5 linked regions of the Nothobranchius furzeri genome follow. The protein of the gene in region 4 purifies or fractionates together with the protein of the main gene of each other region. This does not show direct contact. Links are inferred from orthologs where the notes say so. Each region holds a gene or a part of one and is shown on either strand. Other genes may lie near its edges. The genes, in order: ddx27, wdr12, rpl7l1, pes and noc3l.

Region 1 (6,085 bases), on a different chromosome or scaffold from region 4:
CTTGACCCTTACCAGTCTGGGTTCAAAATGGGCCACTCCACTGAAACTGCTCTGTTAGCAGTGACTGAATCCTTAAAAGAAGCTAGAGCGACAGGAAAATCCTCAGTGCTTATCCTGCTCGACTTATCGGCTGCATTTGACACGGTCAACCATGGCTTCCTTTTGTCCACACTCTCTAGCATGGGCATCACGGAGAAAGCACACGCCTGGTTTGAGTCGTACCTCACAGGACGATCATTCAGTGTATCTTGGCTTGGACAATCCTCTACCATGCACCATCTTGCCACAGGAGCCCCCCAGGGCTCTATACTAGGACCTCTTCTCTTTGCCATATACACCACCTCACTGGGTGAGATCATTCGATCACATGGCTTCTCCTACCACTGCTATGCAGACGACACCCAGCTCTATCTGTCATTTCCACCGGACGACCACACTGTCTCTGCACGAATATCAAACTGTCTCTCTGACATATCAAAATGGATGAAATCCCACCATCTCCATCTCAACCTATCTAAAACTGAACTACTTGTCATCCCAGCAAAACCATCCATACAGCACAATATCTCAATCCAAAATGACTTCCCATCTCTGGCTCCTTCAAAGGCAGTTCGAAATCTGGGTGTTGTGATTGATGAACACCTGACCTTTAAAGATCATGTTGCCTCTGTTGCTCATTCATGCCACTTTACGCTGTATAACATACGAAAGATCAGACCATACCTAACACAACATGCCACCCAGCTCCTGGTGCAATCCACTGTCATCTCCCACCTTGATTACTGCAATGCCCTTCTAACTGGTCTTCCAGGCTGTACTGTGAGACCTCTTGAAATGGTCCAGAACACAGTGGTGCGTCTGGTCTTCAATCAGCCAAAAAGAGCACACGTCACCCCTCTGTTCATTGAGCTCCACTGGCTACCGCTAGCAGCACGCATCAAATTCAAATTGCTAACACTAGCATACAAAGTCCGAGATGGTACGGCTCCCATCTACCTGAATCCTCTTGCAAAGGCTTACGTCTCAGCCCGGTCGCTCCGGTCATCACAGGATCGTCGGCTAGCAGTGCCTACACCACGCTCAGGCAATCCAGACTCTTCTCATGCATTGTTCCACAAATGTGGAATGACCTTCCAAGCACTACCAGAACTGCGGCTTCCTTTTCAATTTTCAAGAAACTCCTGAAGACCCTGCTCTTCAGAGAGCATCTTCTTAACTAGCACCTTGCCTGCACATGTCCCCTCTCTCTACCGTCCACTCCTTGTTCCCTCCTCTCCATGAGTGATGTCAATGTTGTTGTTGTTATTGTTGTTGTTAGCCTCAAGGGCAACATGCCGATTATCACAAGTCGCTTTGGACAAAAGCGTCTGCTAAATACATAAACATAAACATTTGATTTATTTTTAATTAAGCGAACAGACAAGGGGTCAGTAACTGGGAAACACTGAGCACAGATTTTTTTTTACATTTTTTTATTATTCCTGAACAAAGACAACAGAACAAGGTACCACATTAAGGTACACACTCTCATGGAGGATGTAAGCTTAAAACAGGCTAAGGGGCTTATCAAAGAAAAAAATAACATAAAAAACAACAGAGCATGAGTTACATAGGAAACTCAAAACAGAAAGTTCTCAGTTAGATGAGAATTGATTCTTGCATTTTTTCCATTTTTTCATTTTACTTAATGAACAATAGAATAGTTTAAATTTGCTCAAAAAGCATGGGAATGAGGGCTTGGTACCCCTCCATTTATTGCAATGGATGTGATATTTGGCTAACAATACAACCATATTGATAGCATCAGAAAAAGTCGCATTCAAGTCCTTCACATAGAACAGAATATCACCAACTTAAAAAAAATCAATAGTAAGTTTGAGATTAATCTATTCATTAATGTCATTCCAAAAAACTCATGAATGTTGGCAATAATAAAACAAATGTTGCAGGGATTCATCTTCTGATTTACAAAAAGCACACAAATCAACATCAAGTTTAAACCTTCTTTCCAGAAACTTAGATACAGGACATATTCCATTTATTATTTTAAAATGAGTCTCTTTTACCTTTGGAGAAACAGGCCATGTTTTGAATATGCAAAAGCCATTGTGACTTCGCAGTTTGTAAACTTCTTCAAATTACTTCTGTTGTAATCATAATAAATCTTTTGTCGCATACCATCATTGATGTTCTTGTTATTACATTTGTTTTCAAGTAAGTTGCAATTATTCACTCTTAACGTAGGTATTGTAATGATCACAACGGAATTTATTATAATGTTTTTAATTAGCTGAATCAGTGCTACTGGGATCGCTTTACATATCTTTTCCAATTCTTTATACCTACAATTAATATAATATTTTTCACTGAGGGATGAAAATTTACACTGAGCACAGATCTTTGCTGTTAGCTGCTTTTATAGGATGAACGGTTTGCTGCTCCGCACCAGCAGGTGGCGCTAAGCCACCAGGAGACGGCACTAACCGGAAATAACAATGAACATTTCCGGTTTCCGTCCACACGTGTGTAACTGAACGTGTGGAAAGATCCTTCAGAACCCGTAAAAACAGAGTTGGAGTCATGTTGGAACAGTTCGGTCTGATCGGAACCATCCGGGACGAGGACCAGAGTCCGGATGAGCCCGACACAGAGTCCGAGCAGGAGGTAGGTCGGTCCGTAACACCGGAGGAGAACCAGAACTTCCCACGGAATCGGTTTAAGTCCCAGGGGCGCGATCAGAACACAAACAGATCAAACAAACCGATGTCAGGTGGGTTAGGGTTAGCTGGGTGTCACGTGACCCTTTCTCACGGAGGTTCTAAAACAAAACCAGGGTTCCTTCAGGTGTCTGGTGTCTTCGTAACTCCATGATGTGATGTCAGGATATCCTCCAGCAGTCTGAGCCTATAGCAGCATAACTAAAGGGATGAGCCAGCACGAGCGTGCAGCTTTAGAGAGAGGACGGTCTGAAGCAGACAGGAGGGTCTTCCCCACCAGAGAGGAGCCTGGAACCTGAAAGCTCTGCCTCCCGTTCATCTGTTAGAACCTCATGAAACCACAAGGAAACATGCAGTCTGCTGGGAACATCTGGAAATAAGATCTTTGATAGATGATTGATTTGTGTACCGCTTTTGTTTGCAGGAGGAGCCGATTGTCCTGAACAGGAAGAAGAAGTTTGGGAATCAAGCATCAAGAGACTTTAACTTTGACTTTGACTTTGAAGAGAGAGATGGGCTGAACCTCGATGATGACTGGCCAATGGCAGATGTCCTAAAGCAGCTCAAGAAGAAGGTAGAATCCGACAGGAACCCTGTTCTTCGGATGTCAGCAGAATGTTCTCCAGCTGAGTTTGTTTCTGTTTGCAGAGAACGGTGACTACTTTGGATCAGAAAATAGAGAAAATCAGGAAGCAGAGGAAAGCTGAGGTCAGTTTCTGGTCCAGCTTCACTTCACCGTTGATTTGTTGTTCATGCTTAATTATATCAGTTTATTTTTAGGAGAAATCCTCCAGTACCACAGCTGGAAGTTCAGTAGAGCCAAAGGAGGAGGATGAGCCTCCTGCAGGAGATGCTGCTGATGATGGTGATGATGGGGAAGAGGAGGAGGAGGAGGAGGAAGACGAGGAGGAGTTTGACTCAGCTGATGAAGAGGTTCTCACCAAATCAGGTGGAATTACTAGAGTTTTTTGTTTTGAGCTGTTTGTGTGAAGATGTGATTCAATCAAGCAGACGGCATTCAGTTAGGGTTTGGGATCGGTCTGGGAAATTTCTGGGAAATGTTTGTTTGCTGAAGGTTTTTGTAATTTTGTGACAGGAAAGCTAAATATAAATGTTCAGGTTTAAACCACACACACACACACACACACACACACACACACACACACACACACACACACACACACACACACACACACACACACACACACACACACACACATCTGACCTGCAGTTGAAACAGACTCACGAGTTTTGGATTTTATGTTTCTCACTTCCTGCTTCCTGTCAGACACCTTGAGGGAGAAGGAACGTCGAGGGAAGAAGAGGAAGGATGAGGTGAGGAGGAGTAGAGGTGGCTCTGATGGGTTAAATGTGCTGCATTACCATAGTAACAACCACATTTGTGTTCAGGCTGCAGAGTCATTTTATGAAGATGCGTCTCAGTTCAACGATCAACTGACCTTTGAAGACATGAACCTTTCCAGACCCATCCTGAAGGTAAAACCCAAACAAAAGGAATTCTAGAGACCCGTGTAGTCTGAACCGATGGTACCAAACCAGGCCGTAGCCCAGATCCAGACCAGTCTCACCAGTATCTGTCCTTTCCTGTTTGTTTTGTTGCTGAAGGCCATCACAGCGTTGGGCTTTAAGGAACCGACACCGATTCAGAAGGCCTGTGTTCCGGTCGGCCTACTGGGCAGGGATTTGTGTGCCTGTGCTGCTACTGGAACAGGTACCGCTGACCTACTGGAACCAGTTAGCTATTCATTAACCCAGGTGGTAGCATGTTAGCTAGATCAGAACAATCCCAACTCACCTGTTCTGTGATCCAGAACCATCCGTAGCTTGGTCTCCTGGAGCGTTCTGGTGTTATGTTATAAACGTGTGGTCTCCTCAGGGAAGACGGCAGCCTTCATGCTTCCTGTGTTGGAGCGTTTGATTTATAAACCCAGGACATCCCAGGTGACCAGGGTCCTGGTTCTGGTTCCTACCAGAGAGCTGGGAATCCAGGTTCACTCTGTGGCCCGTCAGCTGGCCCAGTTCACCTCCATCACCACCTGCCTGGCTGTCGGTACGAACGCCTCCTGGCTGCGCATGGATCAAACCCAGTTCAAACTGGTTCTGGTGGTTTTCTGAACCATGTTGTTCTGTCCAGGCGGTCTGGACCTGAAGTCTCAGGAGGCGGCGCTGAGGGCAGGACCTGATGTCCTGATAGCTACACCTGGCCGACTGATCGATCACCTTCATAACACGCCGAGCTTCGAGCTGAGCCACATCGAGATCCTGATCCTGGATGAGGCGGACAGGTGAGGATTCACATCTGAGGAACGGGTCACAGAACACCGCTCTGATGCTGTCTGGTTCTGTCAGGATGCTGGACGAGTACTTCGAAGAACAGATGAAGGAGGTCATCAGGTTGTGTTCTTACAACAGACAGACCATGTTGTTCTCCGCCACCATGACAGAAGAGGTACGCACCAGGTCACCTGACCCGTGCTTTTGTGGTTCACACCCCTGGTGTTTTATTCGGGTCATATGACTTGTGCCCTTTGCGGGTCATGTGACCTGTGTCTGCAGGTCAAGGATCTAGCAGCAGTGTCGCTGAAGCAGCCCATCCGGATCTTTGTGAACAGCAACACAGACGTCGCTCCGTTCCTGCGACAGGAGTTCGTCCGGATCCGACCACACAGAGAAGGCGACAGAGAGGCTGTGGTTGCAGGTAGGAACCAGTCCTCCTGGGATTGTGTTGTCTGTGGAACGCGTTTCCTTGTACTGAACACTGTGGTTTCTCAGCTCTGCTGACCCGGACCTTCCAGGACCACGTGATGCTGTTCACTCAGACGAGAAAACAGGCTCACAGGCTGCACATCCTGTTGGGACTGGTGGGCCTGAGAGTTGGAGAACTGCACGGCGAACTGAGCCAGAACCAGAGACTGGAGAACCTCAGGTACAATCTTAGTTTGGGTTGTTAGTCCTGACTGTACCGGATGTTCAGAGGTTTTTTTTTGTTGTCTTATTTAACACTTCTGCCTGCCCAAAAAGGAAAGTACACCGGAGCTGAGCGCCGTGACCGCCGTCCTCCATGCTGCGGTGGTTCTGTTGTATCGCCATAGTTTCACGCTTCCTTGTTCTCCGTGTTCTGCAGGCGGTTCAAAGATGAACAGATCGATGTTTTGGTGGCGACAGATGTGGCAGCTCGAGGTCTGGACATCGACGGAGTGAAAACGGTGAGATGTTCAGAAAACCAGCGTTTTGGTTGCGCTTGTTTTTATTGTATCTGGCGTTGGTCAGGCTTAGACGGTTTCATAAAAGGAGTAAAATTTCCTCCAGTCGGGTTAGAAATGTGGTCGTTAGAGCCGTAATATCAG
Region 2 (6,200 bases), on a different chromosome or scaffold from region 4:
AGGTCATTCTGAATCTATGAAGATGCGTTTTAATCTAATATCAATCATTGGATCAGGCTCATGATCGTCACCACATTGTTAATTGATCAGCACTGGATCATTTCATTATGGTGACTCTGATCTCTATTGTTAATCTACTTTCTATGGTTTTACATCGACTCTTTACTGGGTCAAAGAAAAACTAACAGATTTCATCAGGAGCCAGGGGTGGATTAAAGGAGACCAATGTCCAATAAAAACATTAAAATCTCTCAGCTAGTTTCACTCTCACTCAGGTGAATTTAAAACAAAAACAAGATTAGAAGGGAAAACTCGAGCTTGTCTCACCGTCCTGCAGTTAGTGTTTCTTCAAGAGACCATGTGTAGTTTTTACCATTCATTTCTAGAAATATCCATCAAAATGTTGTTGAAAATGAAAGAAATGAAGTCCTAGCTGGCTGCTTCATAACAAATATCCATAAAAATCAGGTCTAAAACACATGGAAGCGGGTCTAAGTCTATGGGCGACGCCATATTAGATGCCATGTTTCCTTCTACTGGAGCCTGTGAAGACAAAATGCATTTACTGATTTGTAACAAATGGTTACAAAGCTTTCGCCGTTCTTAAATGTTGTTCTTTTACACATTTATCTCTTCACTTGTTGCCAGTGATGGAAGGGAATCTGATGTGCTTGTTATTTTGCTCAAAATTGCACTCCCCATGGCTTTTTGAACCTAATCGGCATCCGTTAGTAAAGTCCTACTTCAACACAAAAATACTGCTTGCTTGCAAAGATTTAGGTATGTACTGCCCCCTATTGCCAGGGAAGGTACACACTGTCACTTTAATCACACAGCTCTAGCTGATGTTTCCAGCTTTACTCCTAAACTCTGTTTCACACATCATTTATAAACATCTGTTGTGCCACATAGTCCGGAAAAAAGAATTTAAAAAGAAAAATTGGGAGACATTGGAACAGATAAAGGAACTTTATGTTTGTCCTTCTTCCCCAGGACAGGGACAAAGATTCCCATCTGGATATTTCTCAAGATTAGCTAATAAAGGATCATAACTAGTCCCAAAAAGGTCTTTAAATGTATGCGTAATCCAAATAGTTAAATTTATCTGGGCCGATGTTAAATGGAATGGGGCCAGAGAGCTGCTGCTCCAAAAGAGTTAACCTCACAACTTGAGATCTGACCAAATGTCCCAAGAAGAGCCAACAGCTTGGAGATCCCAGAAAGAGGATTTGAAATATAAAAGCCTATCATCGGTATAAAGAGAGACTTAACAGTAGATCCCAGATGTGAGATGCTCCTGACACCTGGGCTCAACCTCGTGGCAACAGCCAAAGGCTCCACTGTAACTGGAGAGGTGACAGTGGGAAAACACCTTCTCAGCATCTAGGGAGAGTACTTCTTCATCAACCTTCTGGTCGGGCAGAGCAGGTGTGTACAGCACATTGTCTCAATATTTTGCTGCTGAATCATACCTGTCAACATTTATTACGATTATTTCACTTATTCCATGTCTCATTTTCCCTGCACTGTGTGATATTGTCTCTGGTACACAGGTGATATGTATTTTATAGCTGTAGGTAAGGTTTTCCAGCTTAAATGTTCTCATCGCTCACCCACCTGCAGACCAGATCTTCAACATTTTGTCCCAGGAGCCGCTGCAGAACTGCAAAAGGACACAAACAATCTCAGACACAAACCAAACTCATCTATGAACACTTTCTATTCCCTGAAGCTTTACTTTAGAGCCAGAGGGGTCTGTGGACACTGTGTCGACACTTCCTGTGTGTCCACGACAACAGTGGCGGGCTTTAACTTTGTTCCTCTCAGAGTTCCACTCCCACAGCAGGACAGTCTGGTCCAGAGAAGCCGTCAGGAGCAGAGACGTCAGGCCATCTGGGACATCCATAGAGTCCACATTAAAGTTAATAATAACAAAGAGGGACATCCAAGGTCCCAGTCTGCTCACCTCGTTTGACCCAGGCTATGTCTTTAACAACATCTGAGTGTCCAGCTACGGTCATCACCTGCTTCCCTTCCACAGACCAGATCCTGGCTGTCTTATCATAGGAACCCGTTAGAATCCTGTAGAACGAGACACAGGGACGAGTCACAGGACAGTTACAGAAAACCAGAAGGTCTGGTCTCCATCTTACCATTCTGAGTCTGCATCCACTGAGCTGATCCAGTCATCGTGCATCATGCACTCCTCAGGCTCAGGGGCTGTGATCCGCTCCACATACTCAATCTCCACCACGTCCTCCTAAAACACACAACCATACACGCAGATGAAGCTCAGATGTCAGACTCATACTGACAGCTTTGGTCTCTGTGGCAGGTGATGAGGTCGTACCGTAGATACACCCTCTGCCTCCATGTGAGACGACAGTGGCGTTCGCAGGAACTGACCTTTGACCAGGAAGTCAAACTCCACCTTGCTGTGAGATTCTGCTAAATAAATAAATAAATAAACAACTGAAGTAAAAAATAAAACAAGAATGATAACCGTTTATAAATCATATTATGTGTAATAGTTTAAACTCCAAACTAAGCTGTTATGAGTAGTTTTTTTTTTTTTTACAGTCGACATTTTATGTAGTTTAGCAACATGTTACTTGTGTTTATGGTGTGTATTAGGGGGTAACGTGCTAGTGGTGTGTTATGGTGTCTACCATGTTAAAGATGTATTATAGTCCCCTCAGTCATCATCACACACCGGTGAAATTACATCTCCACATGTGACCCAGCCCTGTGGGGAGCGGCGAGCTGCAGCAGTGGTTGTGCTCGGGAACTATTTGGTGCGTTAACCCTCCAATCCAACCCTTTAAAGCTGAGTATCAAGCAGGGAGGCACTGGGTCACATTTGTTTGTCTTTAGTGTGGCCCAACAAGGATTTGAAAACTGATCTGCCAGTCCCAGGGCAGACATTCTACCATTAGGCCACTGAGAAGGTATGGTGTGTGTACCCTCTCTATAGTGTGTTTTAGGGTGTGTGCACGACGTTTATAGTGTGTTATGGTGTGTGCCATTTCTATAGTGTGTATGAGGCTGTGTGTACTATGTTTATTGTGTGTGTTATGGTGTGTACCATGTTTGGTCTCCAGCAGCTTGTTGATCAGGTTACTGAGGTCCTGCACTTCAGAGGCAGCTGGGATGGAGAACGGGACATCATCTACAACAAACCTGCAAACAAATCAAGGCCCAACAAAACGTTAACCCAACCAGGAGACAGGTTGACCTTTATCAACGATTAAACCCAAACTTCATATTATTAACATTAAAGGAGCTAAAACACACTAAAAGCCCTCTAATCGGTTGCTCACGAGGCCAGTAGGAAGTTGAAAACGTTACGCACATTGATAAGAAGCTCAAACTCAGAAAATTAAACCCTGAATACAAATTTAACACACGTTTAGAGAAAATAGATGCTAACTATTTAGCTAGCCTGTCCGCTTTTACCGCACTACCCCAGAATTAAACTCACCTTTTGTCCTCCGTAAAAAACCTCGCCTGTAACTGAGACATTCCTACTGTCTGCGAGTTTTCTGAGCAGATTAAAAGTAAAGAAAATCAGCTAATATCTGTAGATCTGTAACAACATCCAAGTCAGGACACTGTGGCCATGTGGTGTAGAGGAAGGCTAAAAAAGTCAAACACAGATACAGTCGGTGCCGGGTTCTCTGGATCAGTGCGCATCTAGTACTGCCTGGCTGTTTGTTCACAATAAACTAAAGATTCAGTATTTTCTACGTTTCTATGACGCATGATTCCTTCATAAAGTATTTCTGGAAAACCGAACTCAAAGCTCTATTAAGTTGGGAAAAACAGGTCTGCAAACCTCTTAAAGGCCCCATGTGTGAAATCCATTGAAATCACGATGAAAAAACGCGACCTGCAAAACCTTTAGATCATTTTTGTTAGTTTGTATATTTACGCGGTTTATTATAAATTTATGTGAACTGTCATTGTTTTTTAGACTCTAGATTAAAGAATAAGCCTTGATTCTACTCTTTATTTTTATTTTAAAAAAATTTGCTGCTTATTGTAGAAGAAATTTATATTCAGCCTCATTTAACAAAAATATGATATAGCTACTGTAAAATACGTAGATCTATTAAGCACGGATATTTACTTATGGAGTTCTCTAGTACAGTATCTATTAATAAGTTATTTAAATACCCAGTTTAGGTTCTAGCTTCAGTTTTACTTAAGAACCAACTAAACTGATGTTTGCAACATAAATTTGCTGCACATGACCTGTTAGACTTCCATTCCACAGGTAGGACCATATTTGGTCACATCAGGCAATTTCTCTTAAAAAAAATAATTAGAACAGATTTATTTAATGAATTTAGATTAAAGGTGAATGCCACAAGGTGGTCACTGTGGAGGGCGACAGAGGTAAAAACACTGGTCAGGGGAAACTGGAGCTGGAGAAGGGAAGTGCAGGATATGAGATGCTCTGTGAAGAGTTGGGTACTCTAGAATTTATTGAAGATAGACTGGGAAGCCCCTGCTCTGGTGGCACTCCATGGATCATTCTTCCATCCTGGAACAACTCAGGAGGGGTCAACATGGTCAACACTACTTTAATGAGTGGAGTGAGTGTGAGGCATGAAGTCAGTTTAAAAGTAATGGATTAGATTTATAAAGCGCTTTCCATAATTCACATTTCTGGTGATGGTGAGCTGCTGCCGCCCTGGGGTGGTGCCATCTGCCCTCCTGCCACCAAGACAGGCAAGTCGGGTGAGGCGTCCTGCCCAAGGACACAACAGCAGAGTACCCCGGCGAAGCTGGGGTCGATGCCACAATCCTCCGATCGCTGGGAAACCCGCTCTGCTGCCCCAATATGATGCTTAATGTTTTGCCTGCCTTTAAACTTGTGTTAGATTACAGGTTTGTCATTTTAAATAATACTTACACAAGTTGAAACAGGGGTGGTTCTGGGGGGCACTTGGCCCTCTCTTGCTGAAGGCATTATAAAGTAAAAAGTGACGATTACACCTAATGCGGAACCAACGCTTGTGAATTTATTTATATATAGTAGAAAAGAGCAGTGATGGAGTGTAATTAAGTAAAAGTATTGCCCTGAAGTATTTTTCTTTGAGGCATTGAGCTCCGGAAACCACAAACAATTGTATTAAATATACTCAGGCTACAGTAAAAAAAACTAAAACAAGTCATTTAGGAGCACAGCAGGTTTCACTTCTTCACATTATTCTTTAAATTCAAACCTAAACATTTGGACCCACCTAAAAAACTGAAGGAACTCCTGTTAGTTCCCAGTCTGCTTGAGCCCTGGTTAAAAGGTGAGAAGTTTAACTCGTCCCACCCACTTAAATCTTTATGTTTTAGTGCAAACTGAATAATTTAAGCAAATAAAAACATTTAGTATAATTCTAACTTCATTTATCAGTTGTTTGAAGCTTATTAAGCAGAAAAAGACACAGTTACAGCAGGAAAATCGGTTTATTCCATCAAGGCACAGATTCAGTTTTTAAAAATAAAACACATTGGCTCTTGGCTTTCCAGAGGTTGTTGGATAAAAAGATGACTCTGCTGTTCATCGTGGCAGGAAACAGACTTTTCCTCTACAGGTAAACATTTGGGACAAAAATAATAAAATAATAAACAAAAAATATTTACATAGTTTCATCTCTTCACTCGTCTTCCTCTTCTTTCACCTTCTTTTTCTTCTTCTTCTTCTTTTCTGAGGTCTGGATGATAAAAAGCCACCCGTTAGGATAACATGACGGTGAACGTTTTATTGATCATACGTGTGTGAGGCTCACCTCGCCGACAGCTACCTCCTCCTCCTCCTCCTCCTTTGGCTCCTCCTTTGGCTCCTGCAGTTCTCTTACGCTCTTGTCTTTCTTCTTCTTCTTCTTCTTCCCTGTGGTCTGGATAATAAAGTCACCCGTTATGATCACATGATGAAGAAACTATTTTTTATGCAACACCTCTCTAGATAATGAGCATGAACAAAAAATAAAAAATGATTTAATATATAATCAGAAAAAAGTTGGAAAAGAGAATTTTTAAATAAAAAAAAATGTGACGACAGACAGAAATTAAGTGGTGAACGTGTTATTGTTGATCATACAAGTCAGAGGCTCACCTCACTGACTGCTACCTCCTCCTCCTCCTCCTTTGGCTCCTCCAGTTCTGCTGCACTTTTGTCTTTCTTCTTCTTCTTTTTCTTG
Region 3 (6,031 bases), on a different chromosome or scaffold from region 4:
CGACCACCTCAGGAGGAGTCGTGTAACAAAGGTGCTTTTCTTTCTTTCCTTCTAAGCGAGCCCGGCCTGAAGCTCAGTATGGCGAGTAGGTAGTTATGTGGTACAGCGGTGTGTGTGTGCACTCTGGTACAGCGGTGTGTGTGTGTTCACTAGTTCTGAATAGTGTGAGGAGGCCGTGCAAACTCCAGCATGTCTGAACATCTAGTCTACGGGTTTTAAATAAGAAAGACAACGGCGCCATCTTGCTGTCTGGATCTGTTTTGTGCTGCTGAAAAAGACGAGTCTTCTGCGTGTGTGTGAGTGTGTGTGTCTCCTTGAGGTGATGGAGAATAAAAATCAGGCCTTACTTGTTGCTTACCAGAAACAGCGATCAGTCTTGTTCTTGCAGCTTTAAGTAATCTATTACTCAGTTGATCGGTTACGTTACACAACTCTAGTAGATCACTGCTGTTGTGGGTTAGCGGACCAAGCATCACCTTCTGGAGGATTTTTATCCTGGTAAGTTACAGATGGTGTACGTTTTTATACATCACTTCTTTCCTTCAACCGCGACACACACACACACACACGCACACGGACACACACACACACACACGCACACGCACACAGACACACACACACACGTATTGTTGCAGGGCTGAAAGAACTTTGAGAACCAGGTGCTTTTGCTGGTAACTCTGTTGTCCTGTGGGTGGACGTGACCCAAGCTTATTAATGTTACTACTACTTTTTTACTTGATGTAGTTTTGAAACCAGTACTTTTATAATTTGACTTGAATAAAAAGCTTGAATTGATGCTTGAACTTCTACAAGTCCTTTAAAACCCTCGTGTCTGTACCTTTACTTAAATAATGAATGCAAGTGCTTTTGACGCGACTGTCCTCTAGCCTGGTGAACCATCCGCAGCGCCTCGCTGTGTGTGTGTGTGATGTGTGTGTGGTGTGTGTGTGTGTTCCCAGCTGGAGCTCAGGGCAGTGTGACGCACCCATGTGCTGCTCTATGAAGTTGTTGTCTGTCAGAGGAACCCTTCTCCTGCCGATCCTGGTCTGGCCTCTCTTCAGGACGAGCTCCCGGACTGACTTCAGGTTGGGATATCTGGGAAAGGTAGTGTTCATCACCCAGAGCGACACAGAACCAAACCTACCGACCCAGCAGTCAGAAAGCCTCACCCCCACGCCACGTAGGGCTCCACCATCCTCATCATGGAGACGGACGTCTGGTTGATCTTGATGAAGGCTCCGCTGAAGATCTTCCTCAGCCTCATCATCTGGATCACCTTCATGACTTTGGGGCTGACACCTTTGACCCTGCCAGAACCAGAACGTATTTTTTACTTTTTATTAGACTCCAAATCACTTGGCACATTTCTAATTCATAATTTGTAAGAATGTAATCGACAATATTAGCATCCCTATGGGTTTTTCCATGTATATTAGCATTGGGCTAACCACTCGCTGCCAGTCAAATCGCAGCATTTGCCATTAGAAAATCTCCCTAGAGCCCATTTACTGACATGGAAGTGAAATCTGCAATATATCGTGAGATTGATTTTAGGCCGTATGGCCCAGCCGTACAACATGCCGATATATATCACCATTACCATACATTTGCTATGTTTTGAGCTATGTTCGGCGTCCCTGTTCACCAACGTCAACAAGTTGCCAACCTTGCCAGTCTCTATACCAGCTGATCTCAGCAACCTGGAAACACACTGTACAGGTGGAGAGGGAGAGTGAGTGAGTAAATGGTAAATGGCCTGTATTTGATATAGCGCCTTCTAGAGTCCTGGAGCCCCCCAAGGCGCTTTACAACACAATCAGTCATTCACCCATTCACACACTGGTGGGGATGAGCTACGATGTAGCCACAGCTGCCCTGGGTCACACTGACAGAGGCGAGGCTGCCGAGCACTGGCGCCACCGGTCCCTCTGACCACCACCAGCAGGCTAGGTGGGTTAAGTGTCTTGCCCAAGGACACAACGACAGCGACAGACTGAGCGGGGCTCAAACCTGCAACCTTCCGATTACAGGGCGAGCTCTTAACTCCTGTGCCACCGTCGCCCAGTATGTGAGAGAGAGAGAGAGAGACTGCCCTAACCACCACGCTCACCCGTTGGACAGACACTCACATTCTGATGCGAACAACGAAGGCCAGTTTGTTCTTGGCCGACGGCAGCGGGGCAGGTGGCCTGTGGTGTGCCCTCTGGAGGCGAGTGTCATCACGATGCTTCTTGTGGCTGTCTTTCAGGAAGTCCTCCAAACGCTTGAACTTTAAAGGCTTTCCTTTTGAGATCTACAGAAACCAGGAGTACAGATTAGAATCAGGAACACACACGTTTGTCTTTCATGTGTGAGGACCAGCGCTGAACTAGCCCAGAACCTTTGAGGTCCAGAGATGGGACACTCCCACAGGCTTCGACAGAAGGGATGGGAGGGAAATCCTGAGGGTTTATATTAGACTTTTATATATTTGCACTAAAGCCCAAAAGTGAAGAATTTGTCATTTCAGTGTTTTACACACACACACACACACACACACACACACACACACCACAGCTGGAGAGATTTTTAAGGGAAACACTGTATTTATTACTTGATTGTTCAAAATATCTCCCAGAAGTGATTCTTTTTTAAACAGAATTGTTGAATGATAAAATAAGGTTAATTAAAGAAAAACTAAAGAACATTCTGGATCTGTTTATTTTTTTACCGAATGTATCGGATCGGGACTCATATCGGCAGATTATCAAAAAAATCAAATGACTCGGATTCCTGGGCAAAAGAACTGATCGGGACACACACACACACACACACACACACACACACACACACACACACACACACACACACACACTTTACCCTTCTCTTCTCCAGCAGAGCTAGCTTAGCCTGGGTGGCTTTGATCGCCTGGTAGGTTTTCCTTTTCTTCAGGAGAAACTCAGGAACTAGCTTGATCACCTTCTCAGACCTGATGGAAAACCACACAACAACTCAGACAAGAGGAGGCTGTCGCTGTCGGATCCGTCCAGCGGAAACATTTTAACGTTTTCACCGGAACTTTGTAAACCGGCTTCAGCGTCTAAACATAAACACGAACCCATCCATGTGAGACTAAAACTCACTATCGGCGGCTTCCTGGCCGTCTAAGCCACACATACACACCTGAGCTGGCCTGTTAACAGCTGCGCTACATAATAAACATCAGATGAGTTTAATTACAGCTGAAACTAAGGCGGATGCACCGCGATGGCATTGAAAACAGATACATACTCTGGCTCGGCCATGTTGACACCGCGGAGCCGCTTCTTCTGGTGTTAAACAAAGAAAAGCAAAGGTTCACTAGCGCCACCTTCTGGACTGGAAGCGAAGAGCGCTCATTCAGTATCAGCCAATAAAATTGTATTATTATTATTATCATCATATTATTATTATTATTATTATATTATTATTATTATAATTTTATTATTATTATATTATATTATTATAAAAACACATCCTCTAATCTCTGATGAGTAGTCTACTTTGATACATCAGTACAGGATTTAAACTGGGATTACCGTTGACCAGGGGTCGGCTCTTTCATCCATTTGATGCCCATGCGCCTCTCTGTGCTTGTAAAATAATTAATGAATATTTATTTAAAATGTATTTTATTTTACATCATTCTTTTTTATCTGTATGCCAATTTTAAACATCAACATTGCCATCTTTTAAAATTAACAAAAATGATAAAGACCCGAAATTATAATAATAACATAATAATGAAAACAATTTTGCCGGCAGCTATGTGTGTGTGTGTTTTGCACTTCAAGCACCGGTCTAAACAACCTGACCAGTGTGTCCAGAACGTTATAATTAAATTATCTCACTTAGAATGAATACAAACAACAAACAACAAATGTCTCTATAGGAGTTTTCTGAGCTGAAGAGGATATGAGCTTCTGGACTGTTGCCTCATACAGACTCACTCCTCCCACTGAAGCGAGTGTTTTCTAAACCCGGTCTCTCAGAGAGACTTGTCACTTAGAAAATGTTCCCTGGTTACGAAACTTTGGCTGAATAGTGCTTGTTCCTGTCTCCAATGTGGCGACCTATGTGTGTGTCGATGGTGGTGACGCATCCATGAGCCTGGCTGAGGCAAAAGTCCAGAAGCTCGTATCCTTATGGAGATATTTGGTGCAATAACATTTGTGTTTTTATCCCTGGGAACTTGAAGTCACAGAGAAATATTTAGAAAAATCACATCTTTCACAGGTACAAAAACAACAGATACACCAGTTCAAAATATTGGGTACAAGTACACAAAATGCATGACTTCAGTCACACATAAAAAAATCTTACACTCACAGTTTGTTACGGAAATTTTATATTCCAGTACTTTAATCCTATTAACTAATGTATTACCTTATGCCTGAAAGCATTCACACACACACACACACACACACACACACACACACACACACACACACACACACACACACACACACACACACACACACACACGTAGAGTGGTAAATGAAGTGCTTTAAGAGCTCTATATATTACCTCTACTTATGACCAATAAGCTGTGATACTCTAAATATAGAACATCAACCTGCTCGGTCTTTGGATGTTTACTCAGAAGATTCTGGGATTCTTTGTTTATTCAGGGATTGTTGAACACCGTCTTGATTCAGGAAAGAGTCGGGTTTATAAAAAGGAAGAATTTATTTTCCAAACAATTAAAACATGACACATTAACCAATATTTACTGTGATGGATGGATCTGGGTGGATGAGATGTGGGGGTAGGTCGGGTTTTCACAGCATCTGTCTGCATCCCTTCGTGGGGGTTTGTTGCTAGCCTCTCAAGGCTGTTATGGCGTCAGATTCGGATGACAAGACGTTTTTTGGGTCAGGCTGAGATAATTTTCCTCTCTGCCTTCAGTCTTTAAACTGATCATTCCAGTCCGACAGTGATGCCAGTTTGGGTTTTTAAACTTGTCCATACAGTAATACGCTATGGGAATGACAGCAAAAGCTAACAGTGTAGATCATAATTGTGCAAACACAGATAGTATTTAATGGTTGTTAAATCATGTAAACTTTAGTTTCCTATCACAACGTGGCAACCCACAGAAACTGCAGTAACCACATCTGACCACAGGAGGTCACTGTTACTCATTTCTTATATAGTTTACCTTTAACAATAACAAAGCCAGAGACTAAAGGTGAGTTTCCAACCTGGATTTAAAGACAGCCAGAAGAAGACTGCCTAACAGCAAGAGAAAGATCCGTACCACAACCACGCTCTTTCAACTGCTGGGATGGAGGGCAACCACTGAGCAGAGGTGATAAAGCTTTATTCAGATGTGGCATCTCTGATTTATTGTGTTTTAAATAGAAACATGTATTATTTATAACATCACCACAAACAAATAAAATCAAAAGAACTGAACAATAAAATAAAATTAAAACGTGTGGACTTCCTTGGCCTGCCCTACTGCTGGTGCCCATATTTCCGAAAGGACCTTGAACGCAGCAGCAGCATCATCATGGACCTGCAGCCGCCTGCAGCTGTGACGTGCAGCGACGGATCTGAACGGCGACACGAGACCCAAACCGGGCAACCGGAACCTCCCGTCTCACTCTCCTCTCTACGCTGACGGAGCACCGCGTTGCGGATCGGTGGTACCGCTGGAACCGGTGAGTCCCTCCGGTGTGCGGCTCGGCGCGTGCAGCGGTCCTAACTCCTCTGTAACTTGGCTGTAGAACGAGCCAGGACCGCTGGAGATGATGCAACTATCCAGTCCCTCCAGCAGGGGGCCCATAAGGCAGGGTTGTCGAACTCACACCGGGCCAAAATGAAAAACTGGGACGAAGTCGCGGGCCAAACTCTATATTTTTTGAAAAGTGACGGTAAATGTGCACATTTTCCTTTATCTACAGATATGAGCGGCTGAACGTTTTCATTTGGAAACAAACTTATTTTTGCAGCAACATTGAATGTGGAATAACCGCGTCTGAGCAAGTCCATTTAAAATAAAGCACAC
Region 4 (5,159 bases):
ACAAGCTTTCCATAACAGGGGTCGCCTCTTCTCTGTTGCAGATGGATATTAAAGCAGAATCAGAGCTTAAAGAGGAGTTTGAGGAGGATTACGCCATGAATTCAGAAAGCTACACAGAGGTCGGTTAGTTTTCTTTTGTAAACGGGCCAAAAATAAGAAAAATCCAAAAGGGTTAACTAGGGCTGGGATCACCCAGCCCTAGTTCACCTTAATACTGTTGAAGATTTTCTTTTCTGTCTAGTAAAAACTCAATGAACAACAAAATAACTTGAGTTATTTTGTTTTATTTTACTTAATGGGAGATCAAATGATTGTTCTAAATAGGGCTGCACGATATTATGAAAACCTGCGATATTTGATAACAGTGCATCCCATGATGACGATATATTACTTGCGATAAATAAAAACTTAACTCAGGAACAAAAATAATCAAAAATAAAAAATTCTTCAAAATAAGAAAAGCAAAAGATGTGAGGAAAGAGAAAAAGAACATGAACAAGAAAAGGCAATCCGTGGATCCCGGGAAAAGCAGAATCGGCAAAAAGAGCAGAACAAAGCTAACTCAGGTGTTTGCTAACCATCTAAACGAAGTGCTGTCTGCCTTGGGGGCGGGCATCTAACTTATGAGAACCTACCTGATTGGCCAAATGGGTGATGAGCTCTTTTTGATTTGTTAAAAAAACACAATGCTTCTGTTTGACAGAACGCATAATGTGTAGCAAACATTTGAGCCGACCATTGCGATATTTTTCTGTTCTTTGCGATATGCATATTGTGCATGCTGATATCGCGATAACGATATATTTACAATATATTGTCCTAGTTCTAAATAAGTAAAAATGTAGCTGTAGCAGTTTTTAATCTTTATTTTGACGTTTGTGTAGAAACTGTCAGCTCTGAGTGGCAGCCTGGCTCGTGTGGTTTCCACCGAAGAGGAGGAGGAGGCTAAACTCGACCAGTTTCCTGCTGAAGGGGTGAGAAAATTAACAAAGCCTTTTATTTTTCCTTTTTGAAAATGTTTAAAATGGTATCTGAGTTTTTAGCCTGAGCTGGCGTTAAAAGTTGTTTTCTTTGAGCCTGTTTGGAGATGCAGTGTGTGACTGGGGATTCACTGCTTTATGGCTGGTTGCTACAAACAAGCTGTTCTCACCTGGAAAGCTTGTTTTGCCCGACTGGTTTGGAGTTGCCAGAGAAAAAGCTCCATGTTTCCTCTGGGAGGTTTTATAAAAGAGATCTCACCTGGAGTTCAGCAGCTTAAGTTTTAACTGAACTCACAGCAAAATGATCCACGGATGCACATGTGCAGAAACAACTTGAGTCCAGCTAAAGAAGATCCCATTCAGGTTTTTTACCGCTGTTTTCATGCAATAACTGTATTAGTGTTCTAGTGTTTTGGTGATTTATGGGCTTTTTTCTGCTTTAAATAGTTTATTTTGATCATAAAACATGAACCAGGCTCCGTGATCGAAACGTAAAGCAATAATTTAGCAACAAAATCTATTTTGGTTGAAAATTAATTGGCCTAATAATGTTAGTTAATGATTTGTCTTCTGTTTAATTAGAATAACACTGTTTTTCTACAATAGAGGATTAGAGGTTAATGTGTTCATGGTTGTGCCTTTTTCCTTTTGACTGATTTAAGTTTGGAGAGAAAAACATTTAAAGATTCTTTGAATCGACCTCAAAACTACTTTAATTTAAAGTTTCACTGAGCGACTTTAAACACATAAACATCTGGATTTGTCCATTTGCATCAGGACCGCATCACAAAAATGACTGAGAATGTCAGCTGACTTGTTTTAGTTTGTATAGTTTATAAGTTAATAAACTTCTTATGTTTTTGTGATGCATACACTTGTTTTCTATGTGTGTTTTAGTTCTGTTTGGATTCAGTACACTTGTTTAAGGTTTTAAATCTGAGATATTTCTGCTGATTATTATATATCATGTTTGTGTCGTCTACCTGTTTTAGCTCAGGTGAGTACAGTTGATTGTTCCCGCGGCCGATTGTGCTAATTGATCTTTTCCAGGAGGACGTGGAGAAGATGGAGGCCAGAGAGAAGGAACAGAAACAGCTGGAAGCTCAGAAGAAGCTGTTTGACGGTCTGAAGATCTTCCTGAACAGAGAAGTTCCCAGAGAGTCGCTGGCTTTTATTATCCGGTGAGGCTCGGCCACGGGACATTTAAATCTCTTTGGGAATCTGTTGATGTTCTTTTTTTATGACTTTTAATTTCCCTTTTTCAGGTGTTTTGGTGGCCAGGTGTCCTGGGACAAGTCTGTTAGCATTGGGAGCACGTTTGACGTGACAGATGAGACCATCACACACCAGATTGTTGACAGACCCAATTTTGACAAACAGTACATCAACAGGTAGATAAATCTAGCAGTTCCATCATTTTTAGCTTTTTAGGTTATTTAATAGCATCAGGAACTTTACTTTTCTTTATGAAAACACCTGGATCCTGATTACAGGAAGTCTGCTTCGGTTTCCTTTACTTTAGTGTCACTTTTCATCTCTTTCTGTTCCCTCAAAGTGACCCAGTTTGAAATAGATATTCTCATCACTACTATTTCATGATCAGAGAAAACAAAGAGAAGCTTTATTATAATTTTCCTCTTACCAAGAGTATTTTTATATATTTTTGTTTCAGGTATTATGTCCAGCCCCAGTGGGTGTACGACTGCGTCAACGCCAAAATCCTCCTGCCCGTGGAGGACTATTTCCTTGGGGTGACTCTTCCCCCTCACCTGTCTCCTTTTGTGGAGGAGAAGGAAGGGGACTATGTTCCCCCAGAGAAGCTGAGGATCATGGCCCTACAGCGAGGAGAAAAACCTGGTGAGGGTCAGACGCTGACCTATGAGTTATTAGTCTTTGTGTCAAATTATTAATCTTTCTTTTGAAGTGAATCTTAAAAAGTGCTTTTTTCATTTTGTTGCAGCTCAAGAACAAGAGGAGGAGGATGATGAGGAGGAAGAGGAAGACGAGGAGGAGGAGGAAGGTGGTGATGATGAAGTTGATGAAGAGGAAAAAGCAGAAGAAAAGAATCTCAAAAAGATGGAGGAGCAAAAATCTCAGGGCAAGGTCGGATCACGTTTGATTTTTGCATTACCCAGTCTTTTATGTCCTGAATCTGACCCGGTTTCTGCTTTTAGTCCCTGCAGGTTAAAGTCACACCTGGAAAAGTGAGGGCAGAGAATCCGGCCCGCCTGGAGCAGGAGGAAAAGGCAGAGGAGAAACGTCTCGCTATTATGATGATGAAGAAAAAAGAAAAATACCTCTACGACAAGATCATGTTCGGGAAAAAGAGAAAAGTCAGAGAGGTGGGTGTTATCGCAGTGTGAACTCTCACGTAGATAACGTTGTGATTTTAGGTTTTTGTACGTTTTTATCAATAAATCTTTATCTAAGAATGTTTAACACTTTGTTTAAGTTGCTGTTTGTATAAAAGTAGATTAGCAGTGACCTCTTAGGTCACTGACCTCAGAAGAGTGTGTGTTCATGCACCTGCGCATGTGTGAAGTGTCTATTCATTAACGCTGATCAATCTCTTCTTACAGGCCAACAAACTGGCAGCCAAGAGGAAAGCACACGATGATGCTGAGAAAACAAAGAAGAAGAAGGCTAGAAAATAACTTCTCGTGACGCTCGTTTCAAACGGACTCTGTGTTGAATGGTTACAGGCTGATGTGATAAACCCTGCGACTGCACCGGAGAACCCTGCTCGGTGCATGAACGCTGCATATTTTAACACAGAAAAGCAGGATTCTGCATATTTGTGTAATTGATGTAAAAATAGCTCCCTTCATTTTTGTTCTGCATCATTTAAAGTCTTCATTTTAATTTCTGTGCTTTAAAATCTTTTGCATTTTTAAATAAAAAGATGATGTATTAAGTTACCTACTTGTATTATTTGGTAATGAAAATTAGTGAATTTGTGGTGGCGTGTTAATTTTATCCATCTCTTTGTAGCTTTACATCTCATCAGCAGTATTTATGAATATTTTCCATCAGAGTTTACATTAGTTCACTGGGGCGAGGGCTTCTTTGCTGAAGCGGTGGGTGTTGATGACGATCCTCCAGCCTTCTGATGTGGATAAGTGATGCTGTGGCCCAAAGGCCAGCTCCGACATCCACATCACTCCTCGTCCTTGCTCACTTTGACACACTGTCCTCCCTTTAACCCCTTCGTTTACACCCAGCTCTGCATTCCACGTGTGCCCACCCAGATTGGATCTCAGCCTGGTACCAGAGGGACAAGGCACTCCCATCTTTCACAATAGTAGCAGTGTTTGTGCTACACCATGGTGTGTGTGGGATGAGCTGGAAAGATCTAGTGTGTCTTCTAGGAATCCTGACTACATTATAAAGAGAGATGAAGCTCGTGAGCTGGACTGGGTAAGGCACCGTGTGACTGCATGTTGCCACATCCTGTCATGCAGAGGCAAATAGACTCAGACAGGAATGTTTGTTTAATCCTTTGAAATTACTGTTAACAAAGAGAAAACCTCAGGTTAGGATTTCATGAAAAGTGTCTAAAAAATGGTGGATTTAAATCATTTTTAAGTAAAGAAGAGATCAAATCAGTTGTTTACAACTGAAGATGAAAGTTTTTACATTACAGGCTGATGATCTATTCATGTATTTAGCTGATCTGTTGTGTAAAATTTAAACACCTTATTGCGTAAATTCATCCCACTACATGTATAGTTCCAGCTTGCCAAACAGGCATTTCAGACAATAGACAGAGCTGTCTTGATTAGAGAGAACAATTAAAGCTTTTGTGCTCTGTACTTCTGCATTTGCTCCTTTATGTCGCCCCCCTCCTATCAGCATGCAGCTCAAACTTCAGTGTCCATGCTCAGTAAGGCCTCTGTATGGAGACAGAATAGGGACTATGCAGCCTCTCTCCTCCCCTTTCTTCTGCTCTCTGCCTCCCTCACACTCTGTAACTAGTTTGCGTCCCCTGACAGGGAGCCTGACGTCACAGGTGGCTGCACAAACCTCCCTGCGGCGCTTTATGCAGCGAGATCAGTTTAGGAATTGAAAGTTGAGGAAGGAGGCATCAGGTGTGCACGCAAGGGAAGAGAGGGGAGTAGAGTAACAGCGGAAGGATGAATGAGAGCTGCAGCGCTGGACATGTGATAAGAGGAGCACGAA
Region 5 (5,465 bases), on a different chromosome or scaffold from region 4:
TGTTTGTTTGCTTGTATTGTTGTGCTTCGTTGCTATGTAAGATACCCAATTTCACTAATAACGTTTGTTAAAAAAAATCTGTGCCTGTGACGTCACACTATGGCAACGCCACACAAACCACGCTGGGACCCATTTTTTTTGTAAGAACTAAATTAATATCGGATTCTGGCAATAAAGGGGCTCTAAAACAATTCATATGTAAATATTTAGCATATTTATTGCAAAATCTCATTTTTCTGCTTTAGTGCTGCAACAAGGTTTTATTAATAATAAATCATTCTACCTTTTGTTTTACTACAGCATCGGTAAGCTTCCTGTGCACAGATTATTAAGGATGCTTGTTTCAGCTGTGAGATTAGACGATAGGGTCAATGAAAAAATAAGTTGTCACATACTCCATGGAAACTTTCAGAGAATCCACAAATATTGGCTTTTAAATGGTTTTGTTACTTTTTGCAAGTTTAGAAAAGCAGCAGATGCGACAGCATGTCTGATAATTTAGTTTTTCATCTGATAATGTTAGAACATGTCAGCGATGTCTGAGGAGCTTTTATAAACACTGTATAACTAATACTCCTGGACAGAGTATGAATTACACAGAGGCTTCTGGGGAGCCCAGTTTTTGGGGGGTGTTCTGTTTTGCCTTGGCCCCCAAAATGCCTTGAACAGGGTATCCGCGGGTCCTTAAAAAGTCTTAAATTTGGCTCCCTTAAACCTGCAGATACCCTGCTTGAAACGGCCCTGGGTGTGTGACTGAGTTTTGAAGGTGATCTGATTTGTATCAGATGTATAAATATTACATGTGTGTAACGTATTGTTTTATACAGGTAAAAACGTGTAGTGGAGATAAATCTACCTACATTTTACTTTTCAACACTAGTTTGTTTTGTTTTCGATGTTGCGTCAGTGAGGTGAAATCACCGCAGCACAGGTGATGAGCTCCGCAGTAGCAGAGCGCTTCAGGCACAAATAAGACAGAAAGTAGAGAATATGAGAGGACATGAACGATCGTGGGTTAATGATAGTTTTTTGGTTGCGCCACTTTGAGAATGGACCGTGTGCTGGACGCAGCAGCCTGGAGCGCTGCGCACCAACGATCAGCGCTCTGCCACTCTCGGTGCTCTCTGCTCAAAAGAACCCCCGGTACACTGAAAGTCCATGAATGATGTAATATAGGTAGAAAAGTTTTCTCCGGCTCTCCCTGGATGTGTAGGATCCCCCATAATTCGATCCCTGCTCCTGGATGAAAAACCGGACATTTTCATCAATACAAGACCCCCCCCCCCCCCCCCCCCCCGGACGCTCCGGACAGAGAGTGAAAAGTGGACATGTCCAGGGTAAAAATGACATATGGTCACCCTACACTAGATCCTTCCACAGCTGAAATGTTCTGGGCGGATCCTCATCCCAAAATAACAATCTAAGAAAAATAATTTTTACCAAAGATGAGGAGCAGACAGGGTGGAATAAATAAACTAAGTGCTTTTAGTTTGTTTTCTACCTTAAATGGGCGATGCATTTCTGGAATATAAACCAAAGACCTTAAGGGCAGGTTAACAGGAGGTTGTTAAAGCAGCTCTGCTGATGTCACATTGTGCTGTATTTGTGTTGTGACGGTGACCTTCTCCCTCCCTGCAGCCTCGTTCAAAAAAGCGGCGGCCAACGTTCCGCCGCCTGCTAAAGACAAGCGGGGTGAAACTAGAGAACAAGCTGAAGAACCGTCAGTTCAAGCAGCAGAATGCTGACAAGAAACAGCGGAAAGATCAGAAGAGAATGCGGCAGGCGATGAAGGGCTCTACCCTGCAGACGCCCCGCCCCCTGGAGACGTACAGGAAGCGACCAGGTGAGACTTCTTCCAGTCCAGTTTGACACAGTGGCAGCCATGTTAATGAGGAACGATCAGTTACAAGCAGCAAGGAGTCCGTACATCGGTAAATCTGTTTTTTCCTACCTGACAGAGGAGGAGGAGCAGGAGGAAGAGTTCCTGGAGAGTTTACCGACAGACATGATGGACGAAGACGACCTTCAGCAGATGACCACCATGGCTCGGAAGGCATCGTTCATTACCAGAGACCTGTCGTCATGGTGACACAGCAAACACTTCTTGTCATGGTTACACAAATACACACCAGTGGCCTGAAACACACAAACACGGATGGATATGTTATACTTAAATAAATCCAGATGTTTCTGGATGGATTCATGGACATTTCTCTTGTACACCCCAATCAATGGGGAATTGATTCTCCTCCTTGCATGATCAAAAATCACAAGAATGACGCGAAACTTTGGAAATGTGAGGATTGTCTTTGGAAACTTTAAAGTAGCCGATGAACCAGAGCTGTTGGAGTCGTTGAAAGTACTTTTTGAATGACTTTCATCTGTTATGGTTGCAAGGTTGCACTCCTGAATGTGACTGAGTGAGCTGACATCGACTGGGGTGTGTTTGTTTTGCATGGTGGGGCATCCTAGCGGGCCGGTTCATGGAGGGAAGAAGCGGAGCTCTGACGTGGTTCGCAGCTACGAGAAGGTTCCGAGGAAGATTGCTAAAATGCAGGAGAAGGAGGTGATCCATCTGCTGCCAATCAAGGACAAGAGTGGCGTCATCCCACAGAGCATGGAGAGAGGTAACACTGTGCACACACACGTTACTGATCAGCTGATTGATCGCGGTGAGTAAGTAATCAGAAATGTCACTGCTGATCTTTTTGTTTCCAGTTGTAGAAAAGCAGCCAGAGCCTGAAGAGGAGGACGATGATGCAGATAAGCCTGATGAGGAGGAAAGTGGTAAGAGATTAAAAAACAAACTTGTTGATCATGAATTGTTCACGGTGGGTTGAGAATAAATGAAACCGCAAAGGGGTGTTGCTGTCTTCAATGTAAGCACAGGGTATCCGCGGGTCCTTAAAAAGTCTTAAAAAGTCTTAAATTTGCTTTTCCAAATTTAAGGCCTTGAAAATCCTTAAAAATGACAAATAATCCTTAAATACAGTTTCCAAAGGTCTTACATTACCAAAGACCCAATAAACAAGATTATTTTATTTCTATAAAATTTTTGTGAATTTCTAGTTTGTGTTCAGCATTTTTTGTGTACGATGTTGGCGTAAGCGGAACCGTACACATTCAGTTGGTTTTGAAAGGGGGCTATTTTTAGATGAGCACATTAGCTGGTTAAGCTAGCGGGAGCTTGCGCCATGGGGAAGTGCAAGTTTAATGGTATCTAGATGGCTAATCCCATGTTCACAACGTGGTTAGTACCAGTTCCAGGCAATAGCTGGAAATTATAGCTTATATTTAATTGAAAAAAAAATTGCTTAAATTTGGTCCAAGTGGCATTAAAAAAGGTCTTAAAAAGTCTTAAATTTGGCTCCCTTAAACCTGCAGCTACCCTGTAAGCAGGAACAATAGAAAAGGTCCGATATTGTTGAAACTCTGGTCAAAGCTGTGGATGATTTCAGGATTCAAGGTTATTTAATTGCCATTTTACAGGAATACAACGACACTTGACATTGCACTTGCCTGAAGACCGCCCTCGTAAGAAGAGTGTGGCAGAAATCAATGAACACAAAATCTAAATCGTGATAATCCTTCAACTGTCTCAGTAGGAAACAAAACAGATGAAGCTCAAATTTAACAGATGTCTTTTGCTCTTGTGTACATTTCTTTTCAAAGGAGAAAAACTTGAAATAAAGAAAAAACACAAATTCCCACAGAAGTTTGGTAGATGGTGAACAAAGATGGTCTGAGTAAACCTTTAGTAAAATAATCGGTGCTCATTATATATTCTCTAAAATAAATTCCATTGTCTTCCCAAAACCTGCATGTATGTATGTATACGCATGTCTGTATGTATACGCATGTATGTATGTATACGCATGTATGTATGTATACGCATGTATGTATGTATACGCATGTCTGTATGTATACGCATGTCTGTATGTATACGCATGTCTGTATGTATACGCATGTATGTATGTATACGCATGTCTGTATGTATACGCATGTATGTATGTATGTGGACCGAGCCGTGTTTTTTTGGAAAAATGCAAAAGAGCCGCTTCATTTATTTATTTATTTTCTCTGCAAAATATTTATAGCATATTCATATTAAAATGCTGTTAGGAGTCTCGAAAAAATATTTTTAGCCAGCTTGTTTTGCGGATTTGGCATTGTAGCTAAGTTTTTTTCTTGAAACAATCTAAAGTGATTGCTCATCAAACCCGGATAAGGATGGCCGTTGCAACAGCAGTAAAAATAAAAATATCCACCGTAGTGTGGATGAGCGACTCTAGCTGTCGTCTCAGCTCTGTACCAAGCACCATTGATTAAGGAGCTATTCTGTGATTTTTCATGCGTTGTGTGGAGTGTTTATGATTGCGGTGTCCTCCTGTGCAGAGGGGGCATCATCGTGTTACGTGGGACTGACCCCAGAGCAAAGAGAGCAGCTTAGAAACCAGAAGTTAAACGGGAAGAAGCACTGCATCGCCAACCTGGCGTCAGCCATCATTTCAGACCCCATGAACAATGTAAGTGGGCCACTGGTCTCAGGTTAGACTGGTGGGATGATACTGATGCTAGTTGTGGTGGTCATGTGATGTGTGGCAGATGAAGTGTGTGAAGGAGCTGCGGGGTATGCTGATGGAGGCCGATCCCAGCGTGGCGGTCTCAGTCAGGAAGATGGTGATGGTTTCTCTAATGGAGATCTTTAAAGACATTGCTCCCACCTACAGAATACGACCTCTGACTGCTGAAGAGAAGAGCGTCAAGGTAGCTACGATTAATCCACGTCTGTCCTGGACGAGTGTGTCCTGTGAGGTGTTTGTGGTGAAACTGTTTCCTTTGGTTTGTTGTGCTGCAGGTGAAGAAGGAGACAAAACAGCTCAGAGAGTTCGAGGAAGGTTTGGTGAGTCAGTATAAGTTCTACCTGGAGGATCTAGAGCAGACCATCAAAGGTATACCACCACAACAGCAACACCGCTTCACCTCACCACTCACACAGACTCACAGCTCACCGTCCTCCTCAGATTGGAAGCAGAAGAAGAGGAAACGCAGCCAGGCGGTAGGCCTCCAGTCTTATCTCAGTCTGGCCGAGGTCGCCGTGCGCTGCCTGAGTGAGCTGCTGCTGGCTCTGCCACACTTCAACTTCCACAACAACATCGTCGTCATCCTCGTACCGCTGATGAACGACCCGACAAGGAAGGTGAGACATGCCGGACCTGTGCCGACCCACCCGAACAAGTCTGACAAGCTCAGGTAGATGCATACAACGATGCGTGCTGTGATTCAGGCGAGCGTTTGTTACAGGTGTCTGACATGTGCTGTGACGCATTCAAGAAGCTGTTCCAACAGGACAAAGGGGGCGTGGCCTCTCTGGCCACTGTGCGAGTTATATCTGGCCTTGTAAAGAGCCTAAATTACAATGTCAGACCTGAGGTACCAAACGAAATGCACGCGAACCTCACCAG

What was found.
Region 1: the proteins of pes (region 4) and ddx27 purify together in Homo sapiens (affinity purification with mass spectrometry; 4 studies listed by BioGRID and IntAct, counting the BioPlex papers as one, with this or other methods). This does not show direct contact. The link is inferred for Nothobranchius furzeri from reciprocal best matches to the Homo sapiens genes PES1 and DDX27.
Region 2: the proteins of pes (region 4) and wdr12 purify together in Homo sapiens (co-immunoprecipitation; 7 studies listed by BioGRID and IntAct, counting the BioPlex papers as one, with this or other methods). This does not show direct contact. The link is inferred for Nothobranchius furzeri from reciprocal best matches to the Homo sapiens genes PES1 and WDR12.
Region 3: the proteins of pes (region 4) and rpl7l1 purify together in Homo sapiens (affinity purification with mass spectrometry; 4 studies listed by BioGRID and IntAct, counting the BioPlex papers as one, with this or other methods). This does not show direct contact. The link is inferred for Nothobranchius furzeri from reciprocal best matches to the Homo sapiens genes PES1 and RPL7L1.
Region 5: the proteins of pes (region 4) and noc3l purify together in Homo sapiens (affinity purification with mass spectrometry; 3 studies listed by BioGRID and IntAct, counting the BioPlex papers as one, with this or other methods). This does not show direct contact. The link is inferred for Nothobranchius furzeri from reciprocal best matches to the Homo sapiens genes PES1 and NOC3L.

What each region holds. Positions count from the first base shown.
Region 1 is NC_091743.1:76,918,538-76,924,622, forward strand, and holds the start of ddx27 (probable ATP-dependent RNA helicase DDX27), read left to right. Parts: upstream 1-2,352; 5' UTR 2,353-2,580; coding exon 2,581-2,664; intron 2,665-3,141; coding exon 3,142-3,291; intron 3,292-3,365; coding exon 3,366-3,425; intron 3,426-3,497; coding exon 3,498-3,666; intron 3,667-4,005; coding exon 4,006-4,052; intron 4,053-4,127; coding exon 4,128-4,214; intron 4,215-4,343; coding exon 4,344-4,449; intron 4,450-4,614; coding exon 4,615-4,788; intron 4,789-4,872; coding exon 4,873-5,023; intron 5,024-5,087; coding exon 5,088-5,187; intron 5,188-5,294; coding exon 5,295-5,436; intron 5,437-5,510; coding exon 5,511-5,664; intron 5,665-5,862; coding exon 5,863-5,944; intron 5,945-6,085. UniProt on the Homo sapiens protein: Probable ATP-dependent RNA helicase. Component of the nucleolar ribosomal RNA (rRNA) processing machinery that regulates 3' end formation of ribosomal 47S rRNA.
Region 2 is NC_091742.1:74,277,656-74,283,855, forward strand, and holds the start of wdr12 (ribosome biogenesis protein wdr12), read right to left. Parts: upstream 3,649-6,200; 5' UTR 3,523-3,648; coding exon 3,482-3,522; intron 3,181-3,481; coding exon 3,086-3,180; intron 2,449-3,085; coding exon 2,351-2,448; intron 2,261-2,350; coding exon 2,154-2,260; intron 2,083-2,153; coding exon 1,967-2,082; intron 1,894-1,966; coding exon 1,739-1,893; intron 1,664-1,738; coding exon 1,618-1,663; intron 1-1,617. Other genes in the region: nop58 (nucleolar protein 58), read right to left, coding at 5,658-5,714, 5,790-5,897, 6,116-6,200.
Region 3 is NC_091742.1:28,214,354-28,220,384, forward strand, and holds the start of rpl7l1 (60S ribosomal protein L7-like 1), read right to left. Parts: upstream 3,349-6,031; 5' UTR 3,285-3,348; coding exon 3,271-3,284; intron 2,969-3,270; coding exon 2,860-2,968; intron 2,294-2,859; coding exon 2,130-2,293; intron 1,308-2,129; coding exon 1,170-1,307; intron 1,096-1,169; coding exon 986-1,095; intron 1-985.
Region 4 is NC_091757.1:45,265,803-45,270,961, reverse strand, and holds the end of pes (pescadillo), read left to right. Parts: intron 1-41; coding exon 42-119; intron 120-884; coding exon 885-974; intron 975-2,030; coding exon 2,031-2,161; intron 2,162-2,245; coding exon 2,246-2,371; intron 2,372-2,652; coding exon 2,653-2,837; intron 2,838-2,940; coding exon 2,941-3,083; intron 3,084-3,154; coding exon 3,155-3,322; intron 3,323-3,559; coding exon 3,560-3,634; 3' UTR 3,635-3,898; downstream 3,899-5,159. UniProt on the Homo sapiens protein: Component of the PeBoW complex, which is required for maturation of 28S and 5.8S ribosomal RNAs and formation of the 60S ribosome.
Region 5 is NC_091756.1:51,138,458-51,143,922, reverse strand, and holds part of noc3l (nucleolar complex protein 3 homolog), read left to right. Parts: intron 1-1,638; coding exon 1,639-1,843; intron 1,844-1,958; coding exon 1,959-2,085; intron 2,086-2,472; coding exon 2,473-2,627; intron 2,628-2,718; coding exon 2,719-2,787; intron 2,788-4,395; coding exon 4,396-4,526; intron 4,527-4,605; coding exon 4,606-4,767; intron 4,768-4,858; coding exon 4,859-4,952; intron 4,953-5,024; coding exon 5,025-5,200; intron 5,201-5,304; coding exon 5,305-5,433; intron 5,434-5,465. UniProt on the Homo sapiens protein: May be required for adipogenesis.